Linked DNA regions of Arabidopsis thaliana. The gene in region 1 interacts genetically with each later gene. Each region holds a gene or a part of one and is shown on either strand. Other genes may lie near its edges.

Region 1 (8,563 bases):
CACTGTTATCTCAGCAGTGGCATTGTTGGCAATCTTACCTGTGTTTTTTTACCAATGGTAAATAAGAAATCGAAATGATTAACTAATCAGTTTAATTAGTGAATTGTAATTAGATTGATTATGAGATTAACCAGGAATCTTGACGAATGCATCCCAAATGCTTGGACCACGACCATCTTGGTGGGTCTCGCCTTCGACCTGGTAAGCTGACGTGGCGGTTCCGAACAAGAATCCTTCCGGAAAACTCTTTCTGTTAAGACCGCCGGTGGCCAATGGGACGGCGTCTCCGGACGGCGACTCTTCGCCGGAGCGGGAAGCAGAGAGGAGGAGGAGAAAAAGAAACATGTGAAGCTCACTATGGGACAGAATGTGGGGACTGGGGAGTGAATTATGAACGAGGATCAATGTGTGTCTTCTTGCTTCAGGCTTAGAATTATAAGCGAGATTAATTATTTAATCATTTTTGTTAATAAGGTTGATTAACTATTGATCAGATAAATTAATTGAAAAATCTCCTCTGTTTTCATCTACTTCAGAAAACAACTTTTGTAAGAAGAACAAATATTATAGAGCCCAAAAATCATTGAGAGAAAGCACAATCTCAAGTCCCATTCTGTATCAGTAATCTTCTGATAATGAAAAAAAATCTGACTCAAGATCTCAGTTTCAGACCAAAACAGAGCATTCATTTTTGACAAAAGATATGCAGACAAAAAAAAAAACAGACACACACATCAACACAGCCACGGCCAAACGGAAGATTCACAAAAAAAGCCTTCAAAAGTAGTAGAAGCTTTCCAAAGAGACAAGATAGGACTTGTCCAGAGATCTTTATAATTTACGTCAAGTCTTATTGAGGAGTAAAGCTCCAGACGCGGATACAAGCATCTTCACCAGAACTCACTACATGGGAATCATCAGCAAAACCCAGACCATATACTCCACCTAAGTGAGCTCCTTTTATTGTCATGCGTGACGAAGCAGGTTTGTCCACTTCATACACAATCACACACGTGTCCAAGGATCCTGTGGCAACCATAGTGCTGTTTGGAGACCAAGCTAAGCAGTTTATGCGGGCGCTATGGTACAACATGTTCTTGAGTTTCATCTGTTTAAAAAAAAAGGGACGATATAAGATCAGTGTTTGTGTTCCAGATTCATGGAGAGATTCTAAATAATCTTAATTACTTACCTCTCTGGAGACTCTGTCCCACACAACTGCTTCTCTGTTCAAATCAGCTGATGCAAACATAGACAAATCTGGAGAGTAACGTATGACGCTGATGGCGCCTCTGTGTCTCTCGAGAACTGCTTCCTCGGTGAGGGAGTCACCATTAATAGAATACAAATGGAGTTTACCGTCTTGGCCACCGATGACAGCTTCGGTTCCATCAGGTGTTACTGCCAAAGCAGTGACAATGAACCCAAGGTTGATGGTTGACACTACTTTCCCATCACGAAGAAACACAACTCCTGACTCAAAGGTCACCAGAAGGAGATCGGGTGAGAGTGGTGCAAGGCTTAGATCCTTTGGTTGATTTCCAATGTCGATAGACTCTTCATTTGTGCATTGATCATCTTTATAGGAGATCCTGGATATCTGAATAAGAATCACATAGTGAATAAACGTGAGTTAGTTGCTTCAATAACAATAATGCTTGGAAGCAATTAGATAACCTACGAAATAAAAAATATTAGTCACTGCTAGTCTTACAAGGTAAAGACCATTTGGCCTTCAGTGATCGCTCTTTTAAATTCTCTAAACCACAAGATCATTAGTATATTTTTCCAAAGTGTTAATAATCTTAAGAGACCATTGTGTCTTTAGAATTGCCAATATTTCAGAGAGAAAAAAACCTAATTCACTTGTTTCGTCCTTACATTCAATCCCCTAAACACCAAATTCAGACACTGCAGAAATCAAGGTGACAAGTCCTACATGTGAATAAAAATTAAAGTGAGAACCAGTTTACCTTATTGTCATATCCAGAGGTCACGATCTCTTCTTCATGGGCAGCAAAGCACTTTATTTGAGAGTTTTGTGTCCGCTGCAATTTACCGCAAAAACCACGGCCTAGCATCCATTTACATATCAGTCCATCATAACTACCGGATAATATGTAATCAGCGTTTCCTTTAAGCACAGCTAAGGAAGAGACGTTCTTCATGTGTCCCGAAAACTGAAAGGGGGATTTATCCAGATCGCTTGCTGAGAATATGCTGATTGTGCCACCTAGAGAAACAGTGACAATATGATCGTTCTGCCACAGACACCCAACAAGCATATCGTCTACTCCACCTGATGATCCAGGACAGTTCAATGTTGTATTCAATGATCCACTACCGTTGTCTGATATATCCCATATTTTGGCTGACTTGTCTGCGGAAACAGTGAGCACCTGGTTGATGATTCAAACATATACAACACGTGAGTACAGACGTAGCATAACATCAACCATGATGTAATCAACAACTAGAAGATAGAGAATATGTCATTCAGTCTTCATAGATACACCCAAGATAGTTCATTTATGTACGTCATACTGCAGCAGGTTAGACCAATTACTTCCATACGCTATTCTAGTAGACCTTGTTTAAGCCTAATGTAGTTTGAGCGTAATATGAGGGAATCAGGCAAGAGTTGAGAATACGGAACAACAAACAGATATAACTTAGTACCTGTTTACCATCAGGACTCCAGCTGACTGCATAGATGCTACCTTTATGCCCATCATCAGAAGACAGTTCTCCCAGTATCTCACAAGTCTTTCCATCATATATGATTCCCTTCTTATCTGAACTCACAGTAATGAACTTACTTCCATCTGGTGCAAACCTCACACAGTTGACAAAGTTGGAATGCTCTCTGTCGACCAATAAACAGCAATCTCGTAAACAATTCAGAAACTCACAAGCAGGAAATTTAAACAGATATCGAAAGTGTCATATTTCTTTAAAGAAAGGGAGCACATGAATATCTGACCTGCTTGAGAGCTTGAACTTAAAAGGAGGACCTTCATAGAAATTCACCAGAAAATCCTCCCCACAAGTTACAATACGGAACGGCCTAGTTGGCTTGATAGCACAGCTAAGAACTCTCCTAGAATGACCATCAAACTCTCCCACATTTGATCCTGAATCCCACCTAATAAACCAAGACAAACAATGAGTCAATAATCCATCAAAGTTGAGAAGAAGAAACAAAATGCTCAATTTCAATCTGATTAATATCGATCCGATTCAACAAAATAAAAGCAACACCAGCAGAAAAACAAAACCTTTAGTCCGATCAATCAAAATCAACGAAAACAACATTGAGCTAAGCACTATAAAAATCAAATCTTTATCTAAAAAGCAAAACCAAACTCACATGAAAGCACGAACAAGAGATTTGCCTTTGCCATCACCAGAAGCAACGATCCTCATCCCATCAGCAGACCACTGAAGATCATCGATCCGACCAGCCAAAACCTTAAACTCATTCTTCAACACATGATCGTTGTAAGCTCCCCAGATTCTAACAGTCCCCGACACATCACCAGACGCGATCCACTCTCCGTTCGGAGAATATCGCGCCACAGTAGCTGGGTAAGCGTGCTCACCATAGATAGAGACCTTTAAAGGATTGTTAAGGTCGAGAGTCACGACGGATCGACCATTAGTGTAGAGGATGGTATCGGACTTCGAGTTACCAGAGATCAGAATTCCTCTACCTCTCTCCGTCGATGGAACACAAGCATAGGTTTCTGAAAGCTCCATCAGAACCGAGGACTTTGCAGAGATTGTTTTTGGGTTTACGGGGAAGAAGAGAGACGAGGAAAATGGAAGGACGGATTTGAGTCTTTTTGAGTTTTGTTTGACATTACATTTGTTAATATTTAGTTGTTGTAATTAGAAAGATAATGTAATGATAATCATTGTTGCAACATTCACTTCTCTGGCACAAACTCATTAGATAACCCAAAAATAATGTAAAGTGTAGTTGTATAATAGTTTTGTGCTAATCACTTTGTTTCTTAAGACTTACATATCATAATGCAGAGTAGTATATAACATTAAGAATAATAAACTTCCATTGATTTTTGTTGGAAATACCTTGAATTATGAACAATTTTGAAAAATTATATATTTTCTACTAAATTAGAAATGAGTGGAACCAAATTATTTCTCTATTATCTTCATTCCATTTTAATCAATTCCTCAATCTCTCATGTTTTTACCATTGTAATTTTAGATTAGACTAATGGGTGTGTTATTTGGCCAAAAAGGTAAATGTGCGGCCCATGGGCAAGTTAGTTTAGCCCAGCCCAGTTATATACGCAATAATGCCAAAGTCAATGAATCGCTAGCAGTTGATTGGCGCATTAGTGAACCTCTATCTAATCACTACCACAAAAAAAATGTTATGAAATATCTTTTTCATAATATTTCTCAAAGGAAAAATCTAACGAATGGAAGCATTCGATTATTGAATGAAATATTATTTGAACTATATGAGAAAATAAAGTGTCAGTCGTGGGGCTTTTTACATCTCTTGGTCGCATTGATAATTCATATAAAATATAGAATATGATAGGGATGAATCATGAATGTATTATTGTTATAGGAGCATCCGTGGTTAGAGAGAAGATAAGGAAACATAAGAACAAAGCTGTCACAAGTCTCTCTGTCTCTCTCAAACCAGCCACACCACCTCGTCCCCATTACTCACATGCCTTTCTCTGACTATTATTCTTCTCCTCCCAAAAACTGATATATTTATATTGATTGCGCTCATATAATTTGATATGACCGAAAATATTGTTGAAATATTTTCAAATTGTGATTTTTCAATATTTAATTGACAAAATACAACAAGATTTTTTTGATGTAATAAAATGTTAAAGAACATGGCTACTAAAACAACAACGACACCAAAAAACTAATTTACAAAGACAGAACCAAAGCCCTCTCTCTTTCTCTCTATCTGAATTTCACTTCTCTCAACCAACCACGTAATGCCACGTGCTCCACGTCACAATCAAATCCAACCATGGTGTGCCACGTCACCACGACCTTATTAGGACTAATGTGATAACGCTGTAAAGTAAGAAGTGGACCAAGTGGTGCGGATACTGAAGTGAAGTTGGCGAGCCGTTGGAGAATTCGGAAGAATCGACGGCTAAAGGCATGCCGTCGCTGCCGAGAGCACATGAACGTGGCACGCCATCGTGGTTCAGCATGACGGCTCGGAGGACAGAAGTGACAGTGGGGAAATAAGCAGTACGGTTCTTAGCGAGAAGCCAAGTGAGACCCATGAGGACACAGTCTTTGTTGTGCATCTTTGCTGTTCTGTTTCGGTCTTCCTTTGATGGGTTTCTTGTCCCTGAAGTTTTCTTCGGATTTAGCTGCAAAATGAAGCAGAAGTGTTTGTTTTGATTAGGGTTTGTTGCTGCTGACTAAAGTAATGATTGAGGATTGTAGAAAGTAGAAAGGTGGCAACTAGTTGCTAAGCTTTTGGCTATGGTGGGTTGGTGATTAAGATGCAGAAGAATGAAATCATATGATGGAAGACAAAACGTCGCGTGGAGATCACGGATTCTGTTAGCGCGTATATGTGTGTCAGACTGTCAGATAGAAAGAGAACAAAAAGCTAAAGAACAAAACTTTTCCCAAATTACTACCATTCGCCATATGATGGATAGATCAGAAAGAATCCTAAACTACATAATTCCAAATCTTCACTCACTCATATAGTAAAACCCTAATCCTTAAACACCAAATAAATATCATTAAAAAAGGGCTTCTAAACTTTGGACTAAACCTTACATAGTTAACTACTATAACTAGTCCATCAATTCCTCATTACTCATCCAAAAAATTGTCTTAATCAGTCAATCAAACAAAATCCAGAAGCTAAACACCAACAACGCTTCAGGGTATCTATAGATTATCTAAAAGTTACTAGATTTGCACACACATTTTACCAATTTAGCCAACCTAATTCCATTTGAACTTCACAGTGGCAGCTTCTAAATATAGCAGCAAAGTTAGTGACTTTACCTTATAGAGACTGTTCAAGCACTTGTTGCAACCAAGAAGAGGTGAGAATCCATCAGCATTGTTGTGGCTTCCACTCAAACAATCAGTCTCTAATCTATCAACTCTCTCGTCTCCAACGAGTCTCCCTTCATCATTCACTCTAAAAGCCTCGGAACAGCTCAACGGATGCAATCTGATTCCACAGTAGCAGTAAACGACGTCGCAAGTCTCGTTCGGTCTAGTGAGCTCAATCCCTCTCTGCCTCAGAGATTTCCCTAATCCGTCAACGCAAGTCTCCGAGTCATCGGGAAGCAAAGGCATATCTTCTTCAGGAGTCGTTACCGCGGCGGAGGAGGAGGATGAGTTTCTTGCGGCGGCGGAAATCGAACGGCTTAGAGCAGTGGTTGAGTAAGCAGAGTAGAGCCACGCGCCTAGTACGGGGCAACATTTTCCTTTGTGGAGCTTTTTGCCGCTGCAAGCTGACTTGATGCCGTGGAAGAGGTCTTCTGGTAAATCGAGTGGGCAGCCGGAGAAATCGGATTGCTCCGGGAAAGCGGGTATGGTTGCGGGTGGGGATGATTTGACCCGGAATGGCTGGACTGTGACCGGTTCAGGTGAAACGGGTGATAGAATGGTGAAGAGGAAGATGATGATGAGGGAAATGGAAGAAGGCGCGTGTTGGAACATCGCCGGAACAGAGGAGACAGAGTAATAGAGAAAGAGAGAGGGACAAAGAGTGAGAGACTGGAAGAGATGTGTAATAAAATATCACAAATGGGATCTCGATATATACCAATTTAATACTACTAAGTCAGTTTTTTTATTAGTTTTAATAATGTAAAAAAATCAGTGGAAAAAAATTTGTGATCAAACATTCTTAAAATTACAAAACATTTCTTATGCTTCGTTAACACTCCATTTTTCAGTGTGTAGGACAATAATAGAAAAAATAAACTTTTTAATCGTAATCCATGCTGGCGACTATTTTATGAATAATGAAATCATATTGGATTATTACTTATTAGGGTAACCTTAGTTGAATATTGAGGGTTGTGAATCACGGGACGATTGTTCTTTGCATTGAAACTTGAAAGATCACAGAGGCAAGTGATCGACAGGTTCACTGTTATTTGTTAATAATTTCAATACATAAGAGTTTGGAAGGATTCGTTTAAGTTTAGCTTATCATATTTGAGTACTTTTTTATTTTATTTTTAAACGCTACATATTTACTAGATTTGATATGTAATCTGTATAATCAATAAAATTAGCAGAGTCCGATTTCAACAATGCAGATAAACTACAAAATTATAGTACTAGCATGTGTTTGTCTCGTAATGCAGATAAACTTTTCCGTTAATTAGTTTACAATATAATGCAATTAATTTTTCGCAACTTAAATGTCATGGAAAACAAGAGACCATGCAATTTTTTCAATCACTAATATAGCTATAAGAAAAAAGTCGTCAGATTAGTTTTATTATGGTTATAGACTTATACTTTAGCTGTTTTGTCAATTTTCATGAAACTTTTGAGTTGTAATAAAACATTTTTTTGATAAAGAAAAATAAAGAGTTGTATAACAACTTTACTCTTATTTCCATGAAATAAAAAAAATATTCTATCTCAAAAGAAAAAGAAGTCTAACTTCTGTCTTTTTGTTCCAAGTGTTTTTTAGTCCTTTGATTTCTAGGAGTCTCTATTAATTTGGTTTTGTTTTGTTTCTTATTTTGTTGAAGCAAGAACTAGTTGGACGACGACGACCACAAGAACATAAACACTAGGAGTCTAGGATTTATCTCGAGATTAATAGTACAAGTATGTTCATGGAATTTTACTTTTATATCCATTTTACCCACAAAACACTATTGGTTGATAGTAAAAAGGAAAAAGAAAGAATTATGTGGAGCTCCATGTTAAAAAGGTAATGTCAGGCATGCGAATGGTTTGTTGTAGTGAAAGCTGCTTAAACTATAACACTACAAAACCCTTTTTCGGGAATGCCATTACAAAAGTATCTATCTATAACGTAATGCAAGATGGATTCACTTACGTCACAAGGACAAGAGACTATTTTACTATAGAGTTACAAATGGTAAATTTATAATATACTTACCGTGTTCAAACTTCAAATATCATATCAAAAATAAACTTAGTCAGTCAATTTGGATATAGACTTAGACTATAGAGTAAAAGAAGAAACTAAAATTTACAACATTATTGTAGGGGTTTTTGTACATATGGGCATATTTTGACCCAAAAATTAGAATAGAAACATATTTTATTTGGGCTTATAAGTCTGGGTACTTTTTGGTCTGTAAATGACCATTTTGCCCTCGAATGTGTTGATGATGATCTTCATCTTCTCCGTCGTGAGACAACAACCTCACTGTCTCCAAATTGAAATTGAGAAGTACAAAGAAGACGATAACTACCCATAACCCATGATATGAAAATCCAAATTAAAAATAAACTCATTATCGGAACTTCCTATAATTACTAAACCCATAACTCCACAAACGATAAATACCCAGATTTAATT
Region 2 (7,003 bases), on another chromosome or scaffold:
TGAAAGAAATAAATTTCGAAAAACTCCAAAGGCGTAACCAATAATATACATGTCCACCTAAAAAGATAAAAACGTGAAAATGATTGCTGCTCTCCAAGCGTAACATTCTGTGTAGACAGAAGCGGCTTAATGGAATATTCACATTCAATCCATTGTAAGCTTTCAAAATGATTTCGACTAAACTGTTGCAATTGAATCCAGCTTTCTTTTTAACCAAATAAATCATTTCTTTTCCCTTTTGTCAACATACAATGTTTGTTTTACGTATTTTGATATGTGGAGTCGATTACATTAGGTCATTTGTTTTTTAACTAGTGAATAAACTTGGTTTCTTAGATCAAATTCTTTTCTTGTTTCGCATCAGAATGGTAATACACACACAATTTTTGCTGGAGTAAAACATAAGCCACTCACTTACCAAATTCTTAGGCTAAGTATATATTTTGGGCGCCAATATAACAATCGACAATACATAATAGCTGCATTGTCACCCGATACTTAAATAATTGTCTCATACAAATAAAAGATTGAAGACATTCAAACAATATTTATATGTGAAGACAAAAAAAAACCAAAAAAATGAACCAAGGACCAAATATAATATGATATTTTTTTGCTTAGGGACAAAAAAAAACAGCATCATCACAAGCATCCTAAAGAAAATAGAAGAGATAAAACAGAGATATAAAACTAAAGTACACAAGACTTCTTGACACAACCATAAGGTTCTAAAGAGAAAAAAGAAAATAAAATCCACATAACAACAGATAGTTCAATTCCCATCTCAACTAGGGAAAATAGATTTTTTTGTAACAAACTCACCACCACGAACCAGATAAGACAAGACACACTTAGAAGCATTTCCTGTGAACAATCGATGGACCTGACTCATCGTACTCACTCTTTGAAATCCACATCTGATTCACACACACAAACAAAACAAAATTTCAGTATTTTCACTCATGTTTCATAAATGGAGCTGAAAGTTTTAAAGAGGCGGAATTGGGATTTTTACCTGTTGGAAGGTGCTGAGGGATGCAAGGATTGATCCTCCGATCCAGACACTGTATTTTCTCTCTGGCGGTGCAACCACCTTGATCTTCATGCTGCTAGGTGCAAGAGCGGTGATCTCTTTGCTCATACGGTCAGCAATTCCTGGGAACATGGTGGAACCACCACTGAGAACGATGTTTCCATAGAGATCCTTCCTGATATCGACATCACATTTCATGATGGAGTTGTAAGTTGTTTCATGGATTCCAGGAGCTTCCATTCCGATGAGCGATGGCTGGAACAGAACCTCAGGACAACGGAATCTCTCAGCTCCGATGGTTATGACTTGTCCATCAGGTAGCTCGTAGTTCTTCTCCACTGAAGAACTGCTCTTGGCTGTCTCTAGCTCTTGCTCGTAGTCAAGAGCGACATAAGCAAGTTTCTCCTTTATGTCACGGACAATTTCCCGTTCTGCGGTAGTGGTGAACATGTAACCTCTCTCAGTGAGAATCTTCATGAGTGAGTCTGTGAGATCCCGACCCGCAAGATCAAGACGAAGGATAGCATGAGGAAGAGCATACCCCTCGTAGATTGGCACAGTGTGAGACACACCATCACCAGAATCGAGCACAATACCTGTTACAAAAAGAGAACGACTTTAAGTAAATACAAGTAAGAAGATAATATAACTCAGACTTGGATGTTTAGAGTTAAGAACTAACCGGTTGTACGACCACTGGCATAGAGAGAAAGAACGGCCTGAATGGCAACATACATGGCAGGGACATTGAATGTCTCAAACATGATCTGAGTCATCTTCTCCCTGTTAGCTTTAGGGTTAAGAGGTGCCTCTGTGAGTAGAACTGGGTGCTCCTCAGGGGCAACACGAAGCTCGTTGTAGAAAGTGTGATGCCATATCTTTTCCATGTCATCCCAGTTACTTACAATACCATGTTCGATTGGATACTTCAGAGTGAGGATACCTCTCTTGGACTGAGCTTCATCACCAACGTAAGCATCTTTCTGACCCATACCAACCATGACACCAGTGTGCCTAGGACGACCAACAATACTTGGGAACACTGCTCTCGGGGCATCATCACCAGCAAAACCAGCCTGTTAATATACAAAAATCATGATCAGTAGTCTTACACATGTACAACAAAGAAGGTTAGAACCATACAGTATCTAAATAAACAGTCTAACTCACCTTCACCATTCCAGTTCCATTGTCACAGACAAGTGGCTGAATATCCTCACCATCGGCCATTTTTCACTAAAAAAAAAGTAAAATGAAACCGAAATGAATTGGATAAGCTCATGAAGTAAACACGAATCAGATCACAACTTAGTTTCGAAGATTAGCAGCGTTTATTGAAACTCAAACATCGCTTCATATGTTGATTATTGAGAAAACTAGGTTCAAACTTCACAGATCTCAAAGAGAAAACACTAGAATTCACTTGTAAACATCAACACCTAACAGATCGAAGATTAAAACCAGATCAATCGAGCATACACGAAGTCATTTCGAACTAAACAACTTCACTTCACTGAAAAAAACAAAAATAACAGCGAGAGATCGACAGAAGCGAGAAGAATCCTCAAACTCCATAGATCTAACACATAAACCTTAAGAATTAGCTCAGATCGATCCAACAAGCACGGATCGAATCACATAACAAGCAACCCCCAAAACAAAGATTTTCTCATAAAACCACAACGCATGCTAAACAGATCTAGCGAAATCGGCATAGAGAATCAACAATAACGACTAACGAGCAGCAAAATCAAGCGAACGGATCTAGAGACTCACCTTGAAGAAGAAGAAGATGATACAGAAGATTCGAGAAGCAGCGAGAGAGAAAGATAGAGAAATGGAGGAGAAACAACAGCGGCAGCAGCTAACACTAAGGAAAGCGAAACGAGTACATGTGCGAATATATAGCTCTACGATTTTTCTCACTCTTTTATTTTTTTCTATTTCTTCTATTATTTCCCAAATAAAAAATCTGGGAGAGACAATGCTATGGTGACCTGGCTTTCACACTCTTTTTAGCTCACCGACGCGTCTATGTTGCCGTTAGATTGTTTTGAGTTTGATCTAAACCGTTGATTATGATTCGGTTCAAATGAATTAGCCCGGGAGCCGTGACTGATGGTTACGGCTAAAGTTAGGCTCGGCTTAGGATTTATCGGCTCGGCTTTTGTGGTTCGGACATCGTTCAAATTTTATTCTCGAAATAACAAAAAACTATTAATAGAAAAATAATAAAAACTAGAAGAGCAGACAAACGGACTGTGGTTTTTTTCTCGTGACTGTTTTTTTGAAAATCTATGGAGTTGTTTATTCTTGTGAATTTTTAATACGATTTCGTCTTTCATAATTCAAACTTCACACTTATAAATTAGTAAACATTTGACGGGTAGACTGTTGCAACCAAGGAGAATTGACGGAAATGGTCGTTTATTAGCAATTTAGAACAAAGATTGGCCAATTGTTGACTAGTCCATTTTAAGAGCTTCAAAACTCTCATTTTTATGAATTTTATATGTAGAAAAAGAAAAACACAGATTATCGATATGTTTTATAATTTATATAGATTAAATTGCATCATCACAAAATATAAAACAAATTAATCGTAAGGTGAATTTTTTGATAAATGTTTAAACACTATTGTCTAGATTTTATTGTGACAAAAAATAAAATAAAATAAAAATATATTAAATGATTGATCGGTTTTCGTGATATATCTTTTTATGTTATAAATGTTTTAATGAGTTAATTGAAAATTCCTGAAACCAAAATTCTAGACCAAAACCCGAATAGGAGCAAGATACATATCAACTACGATTTTGAGGAATGCACACTAAAAGACTAGGATCTTTGAAGCATTTTTTATAAGTCACCTTTGTGAGTGTTCTATATGAGACCCAATTCTAAGAAAATAATGTGTGTAAAGTGTATTGTTTATCTATAAATGGTATCATTATAAATTGGTTTAACTGGCTTGGAATATAACATTGATATAGTCTCACAACATGTTATATGTCCATTGATACTATTGATTAATTTGGTATATGTCCAAAACAAGTTACTTCCAATAATTCAAATATTAATCACCTTTTAGAATGATTAAAAGCTTTAACAATAATCTTTTTGAAATAAAGTTTCATATTCCTTGTTGGAAAGCATGTGCTAAGTTCTTACACTTTGTCTATAAAAGTTGGAAAGTGGTCTAGCTTGGTTGGCAACTTAAATAATCAAAATAGTTATGGGTACTCTTCTAATTTATCATTCACCTTTATTTTCTTAACATTTTTGTCCAATAACAACATTACCTATAAAAAAAAAAAAAGAGAGAGGTAAAAGGTAAATTCAAAGGGAAGCCAAATCCGTCATCATTTGTAGTTTGTATTCCAAGGAAAGATAAGTTGATTTGAGCCACCATGCTTCTCATTTCCACTTTACATTGATTGCAAATTTTGAATTTGCCTCTTATCGTATACACATGAAATTGTTCTGTGTATCATCAAATTGGGGAAATATAGATGAATTCCCAACGATAAAACGGGCCGAAAATCTTTAATGGACTGAAATAATAACAATAATATAGTTGGGCTGATTTGGCCCAATAGGAAACTTAAAGACCCAATGATGCAGTCATCTTCACTGATTATCGTTTGGGTCTGGTTTGTATATTTCAAGAAGACCAAGACCAACCAAGTGGTTTAAACAGAGAATAAAAGCTTTTGATGTTTTAGAACTTGGATTGGTTTCAAACTTTAAAATATCTCCACATTGAAAACAAGATGAAAATATTTTCACGGACTATCATATCAGTCTATTCCTCTCCAAACAAAAAAACTCTGTATCATTTAAATTCGATTCTTCCCTCCATCGGTCACACTTCTTATTGGGCTATATTGGGCCTATTAGAGTTAGTTTGATATATGTTGCTGTCTGCAGTTTCTCGTTTGCTCATTTGAGTCATTTCTTTGCCTATGGTTAAAAATCTTAGCTAAAATGATGATTTAACACACACATACAAACAAATAAGTTAGACAGTGTTTTAATGTGTTAGATCCTATTCAATGATGTGTGCCAGATAAGTTCTAAATCATATAAAAAATCAGATACCATTTTCGAAGTGCATGTAAATCATAACTAGCAACACATGATATACTGTATGTTAAATGTTACAATATAATATATAATTCAGTCCCTAAATATAAATGAAATCATACGATCAAGATCAATATATAATGTTCTATCACTAACCAAAACATTCGACTCTTTCGTGCGAATATGTTTGTCGCTTGCATTTGGATACATATGTGAATTGTGAAGTAACAAAAATTTTTTTTATCAAAAAGAACAAAAACAAAAACAATTGATATACGTGATTGGAAATAATCGAGACCCTATCAACGCGGGGTACACCGCACGTGTATGTGCACGTGGACACGAGTGCACACGTACGCATTAGACACATCACATGCCCGCATATCATAATCCTGATATATATAGACACTCTAGTATTTGTCACAACGTTTTCAGCCAATTTGACTTATATTAATTTATTCAATCTCACACGCATGCATGATTAATAATAATACACACACCATCGCAGCGGACAGCGGTGACCAAAAATTTCAATTATCTAATAAACTCATTACCAACAAGGCGTCAAAATAAATCCAAATGTTGTAAGACCCATGTTGTAATTGAATAGCGCTGTCACGTAAAGGATGGTTAAGTTATCTAAACAATTTGAATACATATATGTGGAAGTACTTTTAATTCGATTCATGAGTGGTTGATCAATAAATATAAGATGTTTTAATATAGTAAGCTTTTTTAAATAATATATATATAGTAAGTTAAGAATTCAAACGTAGCTAAAACAAAAAAAAAGTGCAAACTTTATAAAATGTAGATTATTGCAGTTAGCAGAATTACTTCACTTGAATTAGAGTCGATCGTTCACTTTCATATGTCCGTAAGTGTATGTATTGGATAATACATATGAGGATAGACATGTACCCGTAAGTACTAATGTTTAAATGTGTATCCGATCCATTTTTATATAAGAACAAAAAAGGACAGTACTAAAAAAAATAATACAGTCAGAACTAACGTATGTAAAAGATACAATTCCCTATATACAACCCATTTTTGGAAGTTTTATTTTACAGTTTATGGAATCTCCTTGTTTGACCTTTTAACTAGCTTATCTATAGGCTATAGGCTATAGCTCAAGCCTAATTACTTGTTAATGACGTAAACTAAAGTTGTAAGCGAGACAATGGAGTCAAGGGACCATAGTGTTCTTGAAAAGTATAAATCATCACATGGAATTCGAATAAAGGTATTCAAAGTTTGAATGAGAATCAAGTGGATATGAATGATTTTTCAAAAATTATGCAAAAAGATACAAATGATACTATTTCACTAACCCCAAAAAAACGTTCAATGAACTTCTGAAATTCTTAGGAGATATCACATCAAATCCTCCAATATATCTCTGCAACCGTTGGTCAATCGTATTCACAACGACTACTCAATGACATTATTGAAACAAAAATTAAACAAAAAGATACATCCAAAGTAATCAACTATGTATATAAGTCCAATCTTAATCACACGTTTTAGTTAGAACATATACCTTTCAATCTTTCATTCCTTCTTATTTTAAAGAAATGACAATTCTTTTACGCACGAACACACATTATTTGTATTTGTCAATGTCCATATATTATGGGATAATGTTTATCTTAAAATACCATATATTTTCTCTATGCATGTCCGAATAACCCGAGGTATTTAAACACCAACTCAAATACTAGTATATGTAGAATAACCTTCTATTTGTTATTACCATAACTTATAAGAAGAGAGTGGATATAAAATATTGAAATCACTACTCGGCTTATATCCATCAATATTCTACCAAACAGATGTAGCCTAAATTGATCGGGACTTGTATATATCTCAACAATTATCATT

What was found. A genetic interaction does not mean that the proteins touch.
Region 2: changes in AT3G18060 (region 1) and ACT7 are lethal when combined (synthetic lethality), as found in Arabidopsis thaliana (one study listed by BioGRID).

What each region holds. Positions count from the first base shown.
Region 1 is NC_003074.8:6,179,076-6,187,638, reverse strand, and holds AT3G18060 (transducin family protein / WD-40 repeat family protein), read right to left. Parts: upstream 4,028-8,563; 5' UTR 3,760-4,027; coding exon 3,371-3,759; intron 3,146-3,370; coding exon 2,984-3,145; intron 2,867-2,983; coding exon 2,680-2,866; intron 2,400-2,679; coding exon 1,974-2,399; intron 1,601-1,973; coding exon 1,193-1,600; intron 1,109-1,192; coding exon 851-1,108; 3' UTR 488-850; downstream 1-487. Other genes in the region: BGLU43 (beta glucosidase 43), read right to left, coding at 1-38, 132-345; AT3G18050 (GPI-anchored protein), read right to left, coding at 5,046-5,387, 6,043-6,708. UniProt on the Arabidopsis thaliana protein: Binds actin. Enhances the F-actin depolymerization activity of actin-depolymerizing factor (ADF) proteins.
Region 2 is NC_003076.8:3,048,069-3,055,071, reverse strand, and holds ACT7 (actin 7), read right to left. Parts: upstream 3,011-7,003; 5' UTR 2,810-3,010; intron 2,270-2,809; 5' UTR 2,264-2,269; coding exon 2,204-2,263; intron 2,110-2,203; coding exon 1,716-2,109; intron 1,630-1,715; coding exon 1,016-1,629; intron 918-1,015; coding exon 852-917; 3' UTR 381-851; downstream 1-380. UniProt on the Arabidopsis thaliana protein: Actins are highly conserved proteins that are involved in various types of cell motility and are ubiquitously expressed in all eukaryotic cells.